Linked DNA regions of Macaca mulatta. The protein of the gene in region 2 purifies or fractionates together with the protein of the main gene of each other region. This does not show direct contact. Links are inferred from orthologs where the notes say so. Each region holds a gene or a part of one and is shown on either strand. Other genes may lie near its edges.

Region 1 (7,292 bases), on a different chromosome or scaffold from region 2:
TGTGGCCCTGCCACTCTTTCCAGCCTTGGCTGTCCCTAGCCCTTTCTGAATTCGCCTGGACTCCCACTCGCACTCGCTGGCCGACGCGTTAGATTCACCAGAAAGCGAGTGGGCGTGAGAACGGGGCTCTTCGGCCTGTTCCCCAAGACGTGGATCCTGGATGGCGGGTCCTCGCCCCACCGCCCCGGGGAGTGGGCGCGCGGCGCCGACCGAGCCCTCAGGCGAACCCGCGCGGGGCCGCGCTCCGCCGGGCCGGCTCGGAGGGCCGCGCGGGGGCTCCCGGCCCGCTAGGGACTCACTAGCGGTGGCTGTGTTCCACTCGCCAGCGGCGGGAAGGACGCGCGGGAAAGCGAGGGAGCAGGAAGCGGGTGGCGGCGGCGGCGCGGGGCCCGCTGGAAAGGAGGGAGCGCCGCAGGCGGGAGGAGGGAGCGCGGAGGAGGGAAGCCGGGAGGAAGGAGGGAGCGCGGCAGGCAGGCGGAGGGAGGGCTGATTAGCATGCAGCAGCGCTCGCGCGCCCGGCTCCATTGTTTTAACACCTCCCCTCTCCTCCGCGCCAATCTGTCACCGTTCAGCAGGCGAACGCTGCTGCCTCAAATGCTGCTCTTCTCAAATGAGACGGATAATTAGTTGCCCCGCACGAATGCCGCACTCTTCTCACCCCTGATTGCTATCACCTTCTTGCTCCTGGCAGTTTTGACACCTCGTAATCAGCCTGCTGCTTTTCTCTTTTCTTCCCGACTTCTGCTTCCCTCCCCCCGCTTTCCTTCCTAGTTTATTTATTTATTTATTTATTTATTATTTTAAATGCAATCCCGGTGCCTATTTGGGCGAGTCCTCCGCCGAGTTAACCTTCCCCGTATACATGTGTGCATTTATCTGTATATGGGAAATTGGGTGCGCCTGTGCGTGAGCGGGGGGCGGGCTGGCAGTTTTGCGGGAAACACTGCTTCCACGCCGAGAGAACTCGCTTCTCCTAAAGATATTTTTGGGAAGGGAGGAGTTGCGGAGAGGGACGGGAGGGGAGAGTTGGGGAGACCTCAATTAATGCTTTAAAGATCTCTTAGAAATTAACAAACTGGGGAGTCTTGGAATCTGCTGTCAGAAGCGTGTTTTCCCCTCTCTCCTCTAACAAGCACTGACAGTCTAATTACTGTAGCTACAAGCAGCTGTCGAGGCAGCAGCCGGGGAGAGGAGGCGCCACAGGCTGGGCGCACCCGGCTGGCCCCTGCGCCCAGCCGAACCGCCGAAACGCGGCCCGACGTAGGGAGGATGGAGAGGGGCAAGGCCCCGCGCCGGAGAGCCCCGGCGAGCCAAAGGCGGGTCGGCGAGCCGGCGGACACGCTTATTGTTTCCTAAACTCTTTACCTTGAAGGTTAAAAGATGTGAAGAAAGGAGGGGACGAAGAGTGGGAAGAAAATCTTATAAGCTTCCATCCACCCCTTTTCTACCTCCTCGAGCTCTCCCTCCCTCCGTGTTGGTAAAATAACCACGCAACCCGGGGCTGAGGGGGCGGGGTGAGCCAGGCTGGAGTGTAAGAAAGCAGATGTCCCCGCTGGCAGCAGCCTCAGCCTCCGGGGAAAGCTGCACCGGGGGGGCCCTCCCGAGGACATTCACCTCCCACTTCTCAGGCATCCCGCTCACAACTGCCTCGCCTCGGCGGGGGTGGTTTTTTCAGACTCGGCGTTTCGCGTGTGCAGCTTTTTTACCTGGGAGCTGTTCTTACCCGGCCACGCTTAGCAGATGCCAAAAGCCAGCAGCCCCTGCACGACTCAGTCAAGAGACAGAGGGAGAGACCTGGCGGGTGCCCACTCCACCTTTAGAGCGGTGGCCCGCGCTTCCTATGTAGAGCAGGGCGGGGGCTGCTCTCCAGGCCGCCTCTCCTGTGGCCCCAAAGGGTCTCTGTCCCTCACAACGTGGAGCTTAGGGTGCCGCTGGAACGCAAAAGAAAACCGAGTTTGCTAGTCCTGCTAAAAGTGGTGGGGGCGGGGAAAGGATGGGCTGGGGAGGAAGGTCAGTAGTACACTCTGAGTCACTTTCTGGGCCATAGACTTTCCTGTGGTTGTCAGCAAGCACTTAGTAGATGTCAACTGTGTTGAGAGGAAGTCTTCCCATCTAGAAAAGGACAGGGGAAAAAAAGGATCCCCTTTCACGAGATAGGTACAGTGGTATCTTCTGGCTGGTACACGCTGGGAAGTTTTTATTTTTAATTTTGTGTGCGTGTGCGTGTGTGTGTGCGTGCGTGTGTGGAGAGGGGAGGCTGGGTGGGCGGGAGGTGGGGGAAGGGAAGAAACTTGGATAATTGTCTAGGCATTTCCATTCAGCCCTAGTGGCAATGAAAGAAAGATGTACATGCCTCAGAACCCTTCGCAGTGAATACCTAATAATTGCTGTCACCTTGGTGAGGAAGATGTCAATATGATGTGCTTGGCACTGGGAGAAGTCGAGGCACCACTCTCATTCTTCCACAAGTTAAGGTTCTTCACTGGGGCACAGAGGTCTGCTCAAATTCCCCCACCCCACACCCTCCAGTTTAAAGCACTTGCTTCAAGAAGGCTTAAATTTTTGAGGGTTGCAAATCAATGCTTACTTCATAAAATGGAAGCCATGCCTTAAACACTTTTAAGAATCAGGGGAAAAGAGACACCTAAAAGGCGAGAATCATAGGGAATAAAAATGAAAGGGAAGTCTCATTTTAAACAAATTTTGCAGCCTTCTGAATTTGGTATCCACTCTCTCAAATGTCTTTCAGTGGCTATCAATCAGGCTGCTAACAATGAATAACAAATTTCTCAACAAGAATATGAACATTTCTAATCTAAGTTAACAAATATGGATAGTCCTTGTAGGGTTTTATATTTGCTCCCATTAAAAACAAATGTTTCTTTAGAAAGTTGAGTTTGAAAAATAATTCTAAAATTCAAAGTGATTCACTAATTGTCAATAAATGCCACCAAATCTGGTCATCACCTTTCTACTAGGTTACTGAAAAGAAAACAAGAATTTTATAAACTTCCCTAAAAATGTGATTCCTTCCTTTTTTTTTTTATATCAAGAACAAAGGACACACTACTGATCACAACATAAGTACCTCTTAATATTTAATTTCATCATGTAGCTATACACATAGTAAAATTAAAGCCATGTATATTATTTTAAAAATCTTAAGTGTTTAAATAATTCTACCAGTTGTTTTATCACTGGACAAGAAATGTATTAGGTTTGATATTTACAAAGATGTTTATGTTGTCTGCTATTTTCTATTATAGGTTTATTTAAAGAATATCACCTATAGCATAAATAAATTTTTCAATAAAAACAAAGAAAACCCTAGAAACATTTGACATCACCAAATTCAACAGCTCTCACTAGAAATCCAAGCAATAAACTTAGATATTTGAAATAAACATAAATTATGATTATATAACTAAGTCACATATGTAATTTTGAATTATAGTAATAGCACTGTAAACATGAATACAAAGGATTGCAGTTTTATGCAGTTTTTTTTTGTTTTTCTTCTTTTAGGCTTATTTCTCCTTGAAAGAATAGAATGATCTTTTAAAAAAATGAAAGAGTTATACAGTAAATCTAGAAAACAATTCAAATAGCTGTGAAACTAGATTTTCCTATAAATGATCTTGAATTTAGTTTACAATCAAGTATTTATAGTATTACAAACCCCAAATCATCACATAGAACTTGGTATGTCTGTTTTCAAATGTGTCTTAAGTCTCTCCATTGAAGTGTGAATTAAGATGCCGAAGGAAATCCCCTCTGGATGTAATGGATGGTGGGAAAACTGCTTGACAGAATTCACATACTCGAGGTATATGCAGTTCTGAGTCTGTGCCACTTAGTACCACCGAGTCACTGTTTTGATTAGGAAAGGGCTTCCAAATGGGCTGCAGGAAACAAACAAAAATATCTGTTACTTATGTTTAAATTCAAATAGCACTGGACTTCAAATTTGAATTTTTGAATGAGTTATGTATGAGCATATATATTTAATTCCCTAATATAAAAGCAAATTACTTTTCCATGAAGTTAGCATGAGGACATGACTCAATTCTTGGTTTCATAAAAGGGACAACTAAACTTTGATTAAAAGCCACTTGGGACACACACTTATGCATTTTATCATATTTAAAAAGATTGCAGCTTTAGCATGCAATTTTTAATACCCAATGATCACAACGTGAGTAGTTTTGGAACAATAGTTAATACTCTGGTCTTTTAAATTAAATTCTGTCTTTTATTTTTTACAATAAAAACCTTAACTTATAGGGGCTTTATTAATTACACAGTACACAAGACATGATGTGTGTGTGCATTGCGTCTTACTCAAAATCAATTTCACTATTGTTTATAAGCAGATACAGTGAATACATCATACATGAATCAGCATTATTTTGATTTTTAAAAAGAAAATTTTCCTTTTAAACTACTGAACAAATTTCACTGATCAGTTATCTTTTATTTGTTTTTAAAAATGCAAATACTTAATCATTCAACAAAATCTAACACATGCAGTGTTTTGACTTCTTACTTTGCTTCTGTTATATAATAGGTAGTTTGCCCTTACTCATTCTTGTGGCTGAATAAAGTGAAACTTGTCAATAGTTGCCTGGTTAAAGAATTATGGCAAGTCATAATCTAATAGAACCACCTCCACTATAACCAGCACATAAATACCCTTTCATAACTGCATTATTCTTTTTTTTTTTTAAAACTTCTAGAAGGACAAGAAATAGCATTTGGCTTAATAATAGCTACACAATAGATGTTTGTTAACTGGAAAATATTTCCCTGAATTGTGTAAAACAAATTATTTTTTAAAATTTCTTTCTTATGTGGACACAGGTAAATTACTCTGACACAGCTAAATTCTGGTATTTTAATCACCTCATAAAGTCAAATTTAAAAAGACCCCTTATCCTCCTATTACTAATATGTTTTTAAAGTCACACAGCCTAGTCTAGCACCTGACAAGTGTTACTGTTATTTCCCCTAACTTCTTTCATTCTGGCTAACCAATCATTTACATAAACAGTATATTACCGATTGAAGCATTTGGGTTTCACGACATCACTGTCTTCTTATAAACAGTTTACTGGACAGCTGTGTACAATTGGTATAAATATACAACGTCTGTCTAGGCACCCAGATACATTCAAATATCAGTATGGAGGACTTATAATAATGCTGACTCAATTCCTTTCATAAGAAATGTCAATTTTATTACAAAAATAGTAATATTTAAAACAAATGTTATAAAATTTAAGGTAAAATAACTTTCTTTGGAAAAACTTCTTTGGTAAAAGTAGTAAAAACTGTGAGCATACAAGCAAAAATCTAGTTAGAGTTAACTTGAGTCTAATTTTAATGTTTTCAGTTTTAAACAAAAAAGTACAAATCACTGTAATGGGAAATTGATATGGCCAGAAATAAAAGATTATTAAAGATAGTCCTTATTTATATAAAATAGCAAGAAATTAAATCAGAAGCAATTTAGCTTCTAAATTTGGTAAGCCAATCTTCTGCTCCCAATTTACCTATTAAGTCCATATTCATTTTTCTCTATTAAGAACTTTTAGTTCAGATTTGATCTCTTCATAGAATTTAGTTGGGATCCCACTCACTGACTCAGCAAAGTAAAAAAGAAAATCACATAGAACAATAATAATCTGATACACTTTAGTCTTGGTTATGATAGCTGAATATATAAAATAGATGTTTAGTAGTAATGATTGATATAAAGTAAAATTTTTAAATATGCAGCCAAAAATTTCACTTCTCTTTGTTACTATCTACAAACAACTCAGGATTAAAAAAATTATTATTATTATTATTATTATTATTATTTTGAGACAGGGTCTTGCTCTGTCACCCAGGCTGAAGTGTGGTGGCACCATCACAGCTCACTGCAACCTCGAACTACCTAGCTCAAGCAATCCTCCCACCTCAGCTTCCCAAGTAGCTGGAGACAATAGGCGCATGCCACCACAACCAGCTACAAATATCTATATATCTATATGTATTTGTAGAGACAAGTTCTCACTGTGTTGCCCAGGCTGGTCTCAAATTCCTAGGCTCAGTCAATCCTCCTGCCTCAGCCTCCCAAAGTGCTGGGATTATAGGCATGAACCACCGTACCTGGCCCAACTCAGGAATTTTGTACTTATACTAGCTTGTATAATACTAGCTTTATTAATACAAATAAAATAGCTTAAAATGTTTTTTAAAAAACTCACTTTAAGAAATATTCTTTCCATCCTAAACTGTAACATGGTCTTCAAAACAAACTAATTTCTTTGCTTTTTCTGCTAAAATATCAATTATCTAACCTTATGCCCCATGTCTTGTGACAACTCAACACTAATTCTCCTGAATTTTTTAAGCTGAATACTTTTCCATCAAGTTGTAATCACATACCAGCTGTTTCCCTTGCTGTAGTATAGAAAGCAAATGTACAATGCAGGGTGCCATCTACTGAAACATGAATGCACAGACTAGTAAAAGAACAAGCAAGACATATAATAGAGAAAAAAGTAACAAGCATTAGAACTGATGCACTTCACAGCTCCACAGGAATTCTACTTGCAATAAATGAAATTGTTTAATTTGTTTCATTTAGTAGCAACTATAACAGAGACTATGATGTGAAATAAAGTATAATGAACAAGAACCTAAGTGAGGTTATAATTAAAACTTATTGTCAGCCATGCCTAGTTTTTCCCACTACTAAAATATACCACAGCTTGACAACTGCCTTCTTTGCATGCTGATTTAAGTCTATAACCTATAAGTGTACTTAAAGCAAAAGGGTATTAACAACTTTAAAAAAAAAAAAATCTCAAGGCAAAGAGAAATCAGACAAATGTTTGCAAGTTACATAGACATTTACATCAATCTATTTTCATAAGCTTCTGTTTTTTGTAAAAATTTTATAGTTTTCATTTGCTTTCAGACATTAAACTTTTTTTTTAACTAAAAGAATCATTCTGTGATGGAACTTGAATCTAAAAGGGAGGGCAGGAGTGGTTTGGGGGACATAAGTCTGTGAGATTTAGAAACATTGAATAAAATATCTGATATCATACACATGCAGAGACTATTTTAAAAATATACTAGGCTACATGTTCATTTCCAGATTAGCAACCAAAACCAAAACTAAACCCTACAGATCTACGTACTATATAACTGAGGATATAGTAGAAGTATTCATTGAAAGATAGTTCACTTATGTTGATAAATAGGAATGTAAGATGCAATTATTTACATAAGATCGTGAA
Region 2 (8,729 bases):
AACATAATCTATATGTATGATTCCACTTATATGTGGTGCCTAGAGTAGTCGAATTCATAGAGACAGAAACAGAATGGTGGAGCAGGGAGCGGTGGCTCACACCTGTAATCCCAGCACTTTCCGAGGCAGAGGTGAGCAGATCGCTTGAGGTCAGGAGTTCAAGATCGGCCTGGCCAACATGGTGAAACTGGGTCTCTACTAAAAACCGTCTCTACTAAAAATACAAAAAAATTAGCCAGGTGTGGTGGCGGGCACCTGTAATCCCAGCACTTTTCGAGGCAGAGGTGAGCAGATCGCTTGAGGTCAGCAGTTCAAGATCGGCCTGGCCAACATGGTGAAACTGGGTCTCTACTAAAAACCGTCTCTACTAAAAATACAAAAAAATTAGCCAGGTGTGGTGGCGGGCACCTGTAATCCCAGCTACTCAGGAGCCTGACGCAGGAGAATCGCTTGAACCTGGGAGGTGGAGGTTGCAGTGAGCCAAGATCATGTCACTGCACTCCAGCCTGGATGACAGAGCAAGACTCCACCACAAAAAAACAAACAAAAAAAGAAGTAGAATGGTGGTTGCCAGGATGCTGGGGAAAGGGGAATGGGGAATTAGTACTTGATGGGTAGACAGTTTCAGTTTGGGAAGATGCAAAGATTCTGGAGATGGATAGCGGTGTGATCGCAGAACAGTATGAATGTACTTAATGACACAGAACTCTACACTTAAAAATGGTTAAGATTGTAAATGTTATGTTATGCCTATTTTATCACTATTTAAAAAAAATTATCCAGGCCAACCCCTCCTCATTTTACAAATGATGTCTCAGTTCACACAGCTACTCAATTACAAACACAATTAATCTCTAATTTTATTTCTACTAATAACACTGCCCCTAAATTCTTTCTAGGCTACAATAAAAAGACACTGCTAGAGATAAAGTGGCTAAAAAGAGGTAAATGACAGATTATAAAAAAAGAAAATTGTACAGAAAAAAAAACTTACAATTACAATTAAAATGGGCAGTCAGATGATGGAGTCTCGCTGTTACCCAGGCTGGAGTGCAGTGGCATGATCCTGGCTCACTGCAGCCTCCACCTCCTGGGCTCAACCGATTCTCCTGCCTCAGCCTCCCGAGAAGCTGGGACTACAGCCGTGTGCCACCATGCCCAGTCAGTTTTTGTATTTTTAGTAGATACAGGGTTTCACCATGTTGGTCAGGCTGGTCTTGAACTCCTGACCTCAGGTGGTCCACCTGTCTTGGCCTCCCAAAGTGCTGGGATTACAGGTGTGAGCCACTGCACCCAGCCAAGATATGCTCTTAATATATGCATTTTTACATTTGCCTTATTCCTGCATCCATTCTATGTCCCTTCTTGTTTTCCTGTTCTTACCTTTTTCTAACTTCTTTTTAATCTATTTTATATGTCTTTGTAATCCTTAAGTACTGTTTAAAAGAAGACGGGCAATAAATAAAATGTATGGCTATACTTGTAACTGACTTACAAAAGTACACAGAAGACTGCATAATATTTTTCAACAAAACAATTAAAGTTAAAATGTGATCTTTTAGAAGGATAATTCCCCAGCGGCACAAAAGAGGCTTTGTTATAATTTAACGGTAAACTAAATCATGTAAGCATGCCTACTTCTTTTAAGCAGAGTTTTTTGTACAAATACCTTTTTCAAAACAATTACCTTGGAAACCACTTGGCATGTTCTACCCATGGATCATCTCCAGATTCCCAACACCTCAAGCCGCCATCACAACAAAAGCATTTGACATCATCATTGCGACCTTCAAGAAAAAAAAAAAGACTAAATATTGAAAACACATTATGTTCTAATATGTAAATCAAAATAAAATGATAAAATGTAGTTATTTGCTTCTTACCCACATAATAAAAACCAGCACTTGCAAGCTGCTCAGGCTGAACTGGAACACTGGATGGCCAGTACATAAACGTTCTCATTCGAGCTGCATGTGTCTGCATGCTCAGATTTGAAATGCTAAACCTCAGCGTTTCTAGAGAATTTTCCAAAAATGGACAGTTGGGAAAATGCCTCCGGTGTTCTGACATAGCATCATCCTTTGGTTCCCAGTTACTGAGCTTCCCACCACAGGCAAAGCAGGCTACCCTATCTCCAGGTCCTATATAATAAAAACCAGCTCTTGCCAATTCTGATGGTGACAAAAAAGTTAATGGCCACATATGGTAGGTAAGAAATCGGGCTTCTTCAGTACTCATTGCATAACTGTAGGGGTTAGTCCTCGATGGAGACAAGTCTTCAACTGCTCTAGAATTAAGAGGGTTTGGTGAAAGGCTAGAGTAAGAACCACTGAACAAGCTACTATGTTCCAAGGTGGGAGATAATGAATGTGCAAAACTGTTTCTCATTGGAGAAGTATTCTTAGAGGTGGATCCCAGAGTAGCTGAAACCAGATTCTGAATAAAGCTACAGCTAGGATATAGTTGTTTATGCTTTTCAATAGGACTGTCTCCTAGTTTCCAGTTATCCAGCATCAGGCCACAACAGAAGCATTTGACCTTGTCATTCACACCAGTATAATAAAAACCAGCACGAGCAAGACTCCTTTCTGAGACAGGAACGCCGGTGGGGAAAGTTGAATATGTAGACATTCTGTAGAGTTCACAGGAAAAGTCATACTTCATTTTTTGTTTGTTGCTGTTTGTCCAATCTGACAAGATCGTGCTATCTTCCATTATACTCTTAATGTTTTGATACGAGGGACCTGGGAAAAGTCTTTGGGAGGCAGTTTTGTGCATGAGTAGGTGACAGTACTGTTTGATAGCTAAAACAGTCACATGAAATTTCTTCACACAAAATAAGATTTTTACCACAAAAAGAAATCAATGATAGACTCTTACGTAGAATTCACTACACTTTCTTTACTGGATTTATCTCAGTTTATATTCAGGTAGGATGAGTCTCTCTCTGAATTACCAAGATACTACTTGGAACACAAGTCTTTGGGGTTGTAGTAACTCTTTTAAGTAATCTAAGTGCTATTTGTTCATAATCTTGAGTAATACTAACCTAAAGCCCTGAGAGGTGGATGCCCTTTTGAAAATGTTGAAACTCCTTGATTTTTCACAGAGATTTATATTCTCAAAATTCTAAGCAACTACAGAATACCTAAATTACTCCTTTTATTTATATTTGGTTACAAGCTATGAAGCCTGGGTAACAGATCAATTACTGATTATGCCACAAGGTAAAAAATTACATGCAGGCTTCTTTCCCTATAAGCACTTTAATATAATGTCCCCAAAAAATCTCATTTTATTCCAATAAACAAAAGTAATTAAAATCTTCATATGGTCACACTATTTAAAGGCTAAGTTCACACAGCTTATCACCATAGTATTTACATAAGCGGGCTATATTACTTCAGCTGACAACTTTTGGGGAAGTCAACACCCACAAGCTTTGTTGAACCTGTGCCTGTTATAGTGTTTGATGTCAAATGAATTTGGCTTAAAGTTCACAAACTATAAACTCTTCTATCTTTGTTAAATATCATTTGTATTTGTTTCTATTTCCTGCAGCATGTTGACTTTCTTCCTAACTTTGTATACCACTTTATTATTCTTGATCAACTGAAGGTATTTTCTCCATAAACTTAATTAGTTAGCCATAAAATTTCCACAGCACACTTTTCACACTGCATTTAAAAACTAAATAACCTGTTCATCATTTAAGGACTATTCAGCTATAATTATCAGTCATGCTGTAAACATTAATCAATTTGTCACAAGACACAACTTGTCCTTTCTAGTGTTATCAGAAACGCCTAACAAAATACTGTATTACCAAAAAAGTACTGCTTAGCATAACGTATCAGTAATCAACTCTACTAGCCTTCTTTCTGAAAACTCTTCAATGTTTTAAAAATATAATTCATACACAAAATTACACTCCATAGAATTCAAACTATATCCCTTTATAAAGCTTCGAGATCTCCAAAATGGGATTTATTACTGCAAGGGGAAAGGGAGAGGAGGATTCTTCAGGGCTGTAAATCTGAAAAGAAAAAACAAAAGGTATTTTAGAAAACCGTATTTGCATGCCAAATAGAACTTACATACTCTTCAATTTATTCACTAAAGTCTAAGAATAATTTACATTTTAGATAACACATCTTAATTTCCAGCAATTTGTCACAACTTTCTAACTGAAAAAGCTCTTAATTAAAATAAATAAATGCAACATACTCCCATAGCACTAACTATACGTGTCTTTAAAAAGCACAACTTTAGAGACAGATGGAAATTTTCACACAGGAAAACATTTTGTCCTTGCTCTCCTCCCCTTTTCTGACCTAAAGGTATCTTTGGCACTCTGCTGGAGGCAAAGGAACATTGGTGAAAAAGGCAGAGAGAGCGACAAGGTACTCCACTAAACCCTGTCAACAGCAGTACAGCAGTAATCAGACAGCAACGTTAGTTTGTAATATCAAGTCTCTCCGCGACTAGGAAAACTGCAGTAAAATGTACCACGAGTTCATTAATATAAACCCTTAAACTCTGCCAATCCCTTACAATTTCAAAGCAACGACGGTAGAAAACAACCGAAAACAAAACCTAACACAGCGGCCTGTGAAACAGTGGCCTGACGCCCACTGGCATGATTGCTTTAATTACACGCGATTTTTTATATACTATCTTTAAACGAAAGACTTTTATCTGCGAGCACCGTACTGCAGCATTCTCTTTATGCAAACTGCAGCTGGACAGGGGATAGGATGGAAGAGAAAAGAATAGAAACTATGGGATTTACCCAATAATTACCCAGAGTTGTTTCTCACAATACACAACAGACTACTGGAATGACAGAGCGCAGTGGCAACTATGAAATATGAAATATCACCGCCACCGAAATATCTTCGTTTCAATGTATTACATTAAAAGAACGCCGAGGGCTGTTTAAAACCTTGCAAAAACTGCGAGAAAACATCTTGGTCAAAGTCCAAGGGCCAGAAGAGTGGGCGGCGGCCAGAGGAGGTTTGAAAACAAGTCATATTTTAAAAACGGCTTTGACTGCAAGTCTTGAAGTTTGGGCTTCCGAATCCAATAAAACCTTGGCGAGAGTAGAAAGCAGAGAGCCCCCGGCGACCCTCGACCCTTGGCCGAAGGGCCTCTGGCCCCTTCCTTCCTCGCCCGGCCGCCACATCAGGGAAGTGGGCCCCCGCGGGCCCGCGCGTCCCCACCCTCCCCGCGCCGCCCGAGTCCGGAAGGAGCAGCACTCACCGCAGTGCGGGCGCAGCAAACAAGGAAGCTGCGCGGCAGCCTAGAGGCCTCCCCAGAGCCGGGAAGCGGCGGTACCGACAAGGAGACACGGCCGCCTCGGCTCGGGTCAGCTCCGGCGCTCCCGAAGCCCGCCGCCCCATCCGGGCTCACGCCGACGCACGATGACGTCAGCGCGCCCGGCCGGAGACTCGCGTTGGCAGCCGCGCGAGGGCGCCCGGGAGGCTGGGGCCGGAAAGCGAAACCGAGCGCACTTGCGGCCGTGGGGCGACTAACCGCCGGGAAAGACGCTGGGAGGCTCAGGGACCCCCGGCGCAACTGGACGCCCATCGGGAGTCGCGGGGTCGGCCCTTAGGGGAACGGGGACTATCCGTATCAACTCGGTGTTTGTTCGTTTTCTTCACCTTGCAGTTTGTGCCCCCTCCACGTTTCCTCTCTCTCTGTGCCTACCATTCTCCTGGGGGACGTGGCAAACCGTGAGCCGCTGCGTTTGACTCTTGGGAAACCCTGCGGAAACGCCCTGGCGCCGGTGGTTTTGCGCGTCTACCCTGTGTCACCTCAGGGTTATGATCTGGCCCCTGGCAAGGCTCCCCTAGTGTGATGCCTCCCCCGTCGAGATGACTGCATTTTGAGGATGGAGTCAGTCTGATGGCATTTTTTGCTCAAGTAAACAGTTGTAACCGTTTGTGTAGCATCAGCGTTCAACAGCTGTTTGTGCAAATCGAAAAAAGCGAAGCGTTGGAAAGTAGGAAGCATCTGATGAATAATTTTGACTCGATGAGTTTTACAATCAACTAGGTTATCTTGTTTTTAAACTTTTGGTTTTCTGTTCTGGAGACAAACAGTGCATATGCACTAAAGACAAAAGTGTCATTATTTCAGATGCTCATTGCCAGCAACGGGAACGGTATTGCAAGTCAGGCTTCACTCCCAGTATTTTCTGAATGTTTCAATAAAATGAAATATATACGTCCGCCTGTGTATTGGTGTACATGCACATATAATTGTACATAAACCACAGAGAAGCCCAAGGTTGTTTTTTTTTTTAATGCTTAGGTAATAGAAAATTTGTAAACAAACACCCTTGGCTTTTACTAGTGATGGACCTTTTGTATCCCTCCGCCATACTCCCCCAGTAGTGCCATAGACACAGTGGCATGCAGTAAATGTTTGTGCTATGACAGCCAACGAATGACTTTTGAAGTTGACGCTCTTTGCCCATTGAATCCAATGCTTGCTTCTCTCTGGGGAACTCCAAGGGGCAAATATTTTAAAAACTTCCAAATAGCGAACCACTTAATTAGGCAGCCGGGGGAATTCCAAGACCCTGAACCATTTCCCATTTCCTGTCCGTGTCATTTCTGCCTGCCAGTCAGTCACAGAACAGGAGGTCTACTGTTCCAATGTTAATAGTCAAAGAAAGTGAGTGTAACAGTTTGTAATACAGAGAAAAGAAATGCCATGGCTCCCAATGACTAAAAACTTCCAAAAATGCACGTGGGGCTTGGTAGTAGTTTAGTATTTAGTTCAAGTCACTATTTCTCGGAAAGTTACAGAACATTCCTAACATGTGGGAAAATATATATAGCAAGAATTGTTCATTCTGAACTCAAGTATTTCTCTTTTTCAGTTCTTGTCCTGACCAAAACAGTAAGATAATGAATATACTTAAGTATAGGGGAAAGCTTGCATTTCAAAAATTCAAAAGCCTTAGATATTTTTAACAAAAAATATATGTAATATTTAGGTATAATAAATAGTACTTCATAACTTTTATTCTTGTATAACTTTGTAGTCTAGTGTTACAGTTAGTTAATTCAGTTACCTGGTTATTCAGTTAATTTTTTTCGTTTTACTAGTATAAAGTTGCTGTTAATCTTAAAAAATAAGCTAGTATGTCTGCTACAGTTGCCATTCTAACGTTTTTCATATATATGTAGAAAAAATATTTACAGTATTTAAAACAATTTTGAAGAAGAAAAGTTAAGATTGGAAAGTCTTGTCCTACCAGGTAATGAGTTACAATAAAGCCATAGTAATTGAGACAGTCGTGTATTATTAAATGCACTAGGATGTACAATTAAACAAAAGAAGGAGATACAGAGCCCCAAAAAGAGACCCATATCAATGTATTTGGGAATTTGATATACTGGCATTATGTATTAATAAGAAAAGGATTAATTAGTCAATAAGTAATGCTGAATGAATGGTTATTCTAATGGAAAATAAAATTAGATCACTACCATATACTATTTAAAAATCTCTGCTTGATTTTTTAAAAAAACCCTCAAAAGTAAACAGCCATCATTATGAATCCAGGGATTTAAAGAAGTTTGGTGAGTTGTAATCCATCGCAGCTATTATCACTATTAGTGCTCAAGTTGTTTTATTTTAGGCCGGTGAGAGTTTACTCAGGTTGGCTCCTGAGTCTTTTTGATACTTTCCTAGTAGTCTTTGCTTTCCAGGCTCATTTTGTGTATTTCTTACTCCATACCCATAATAAGCCATTACTCCTAAGTGTCCTGGATCCTTTAGTGGGAAATGGTATTTAAAGAGCATAATCTGAATGTTTGTCTCCTGTGAGTTAGCGCTGCAAGGAACAACAAACAAAAAATGTTTGTCGTGTTCATTGTTAATGAGTTTGATTGTTTCTATACCTGTTCAATGGACAAAGCTGGTTAGTATGGGTTTGTTTTGGTTTGGTTTTTGTTTTTTAAATCAAATATATCACAAACTCATTGATACTTCCGATTCAAATTCAGGAAGTCAAGGTTTTATTTAACCTCTTTGATTGCACATCTGTAACTCCCTTTGTTTTGAAAATCCTTGGTCTCCCCTCTACTTTTTCCTTCCTGCCCCATAAGTAATGACTTAAACACTTTTTATGATTCATTTTTTCATTTTAAAAATGTAATTATGCATGTTTATACCTACCCTTTTCTTAGATAAATAATAGTAGCATACTTTTCTCCACCTTTTTTCACTTCATAATAAATTCTAGAGATTATGTAATACATATAGAGCTATTCCTCGTTTCTATATAGTACTCCGTTGTGTAGATGTGCCATAATATATTCAACAACATAATTCAGAAAGCAGCCAAAAACTGCTAGGGCCACGTCAAAGACTAAGGATCCAACCTGAATAAGCTCCCCAGTCATAGATAAAATTAGTACCATAATATATTCAGCTACTTCCCTATGGATGGACATCTGGGTGGTTTCCAGGCTTTTGCTATTACAAATAGTGCTGCAATGAATAGTCATGGGAACACATCTTATTTTAGGATATATTCCCAGAAGTTAGTTCAAATGGTAAATCCATATGTAAATTTGCCTAATATGGCCACATACCCATCCATGGGTATGCTGGTATTTTGCAATCCAACCAGCAATGTATGTGAGTGCCTGTATTTCCCACAACTTTATCAGTGGAGTAAGTTGTCAGACTTTTGGATTGTTGCCAACCTG

What was found. Proteins that work in one complex are often made in the same cells at the same time.
Region 1: the proteins of BIRC2 (region 2) and TANK purify together in Homo sapiens (affinity purification with mass spectrometry; 4 studies listed by BioGRID and IntAct, with this or other methods). This does not show direct contact. The link is inferred for Macaca mulatta from reciprocal best matches to the Homo sapiens genes BIRC2 and TANK.

The regions. Positions count from the first base shown.
Region 1 is NC_133417.1:66,042,823-66,050,114, reverse strand, and holds the end of TANK (TRAF family member-associated NF-kappa-B activator), read right to left. Parts: intron 3,903-7,292; coding exon 3,726-3,902; 3' UTR 3,088-3,725; downstream 1-3,087.
Region 2 is NC_133419.1:103,215,305-103,224,033, reverse strand, and holds the start of BIRC2 (baculoviral IAP repeat-containing protein 2), read right to left. Parts: upstream 5,409-8,729; 5' UTR 5,263-5,408; intron 5,246-5,262; exon of another isoform or gene 4,804-5,245; intron 4,037-4,803; 5' UTR 2,779-4,036; coding exon 1,884-2,778; intron 1,788-1,883; coding exon 1,688-1,787; intron 1-1,687. UniProt on the Homo sapiens protein: Multi-functional protein which regulates not only caspases and apoptosis, but also modulates inflammatory signaling and immunity, mitogenic kinase signaling, and cell proliferation, as well as cell invasion and metastasis.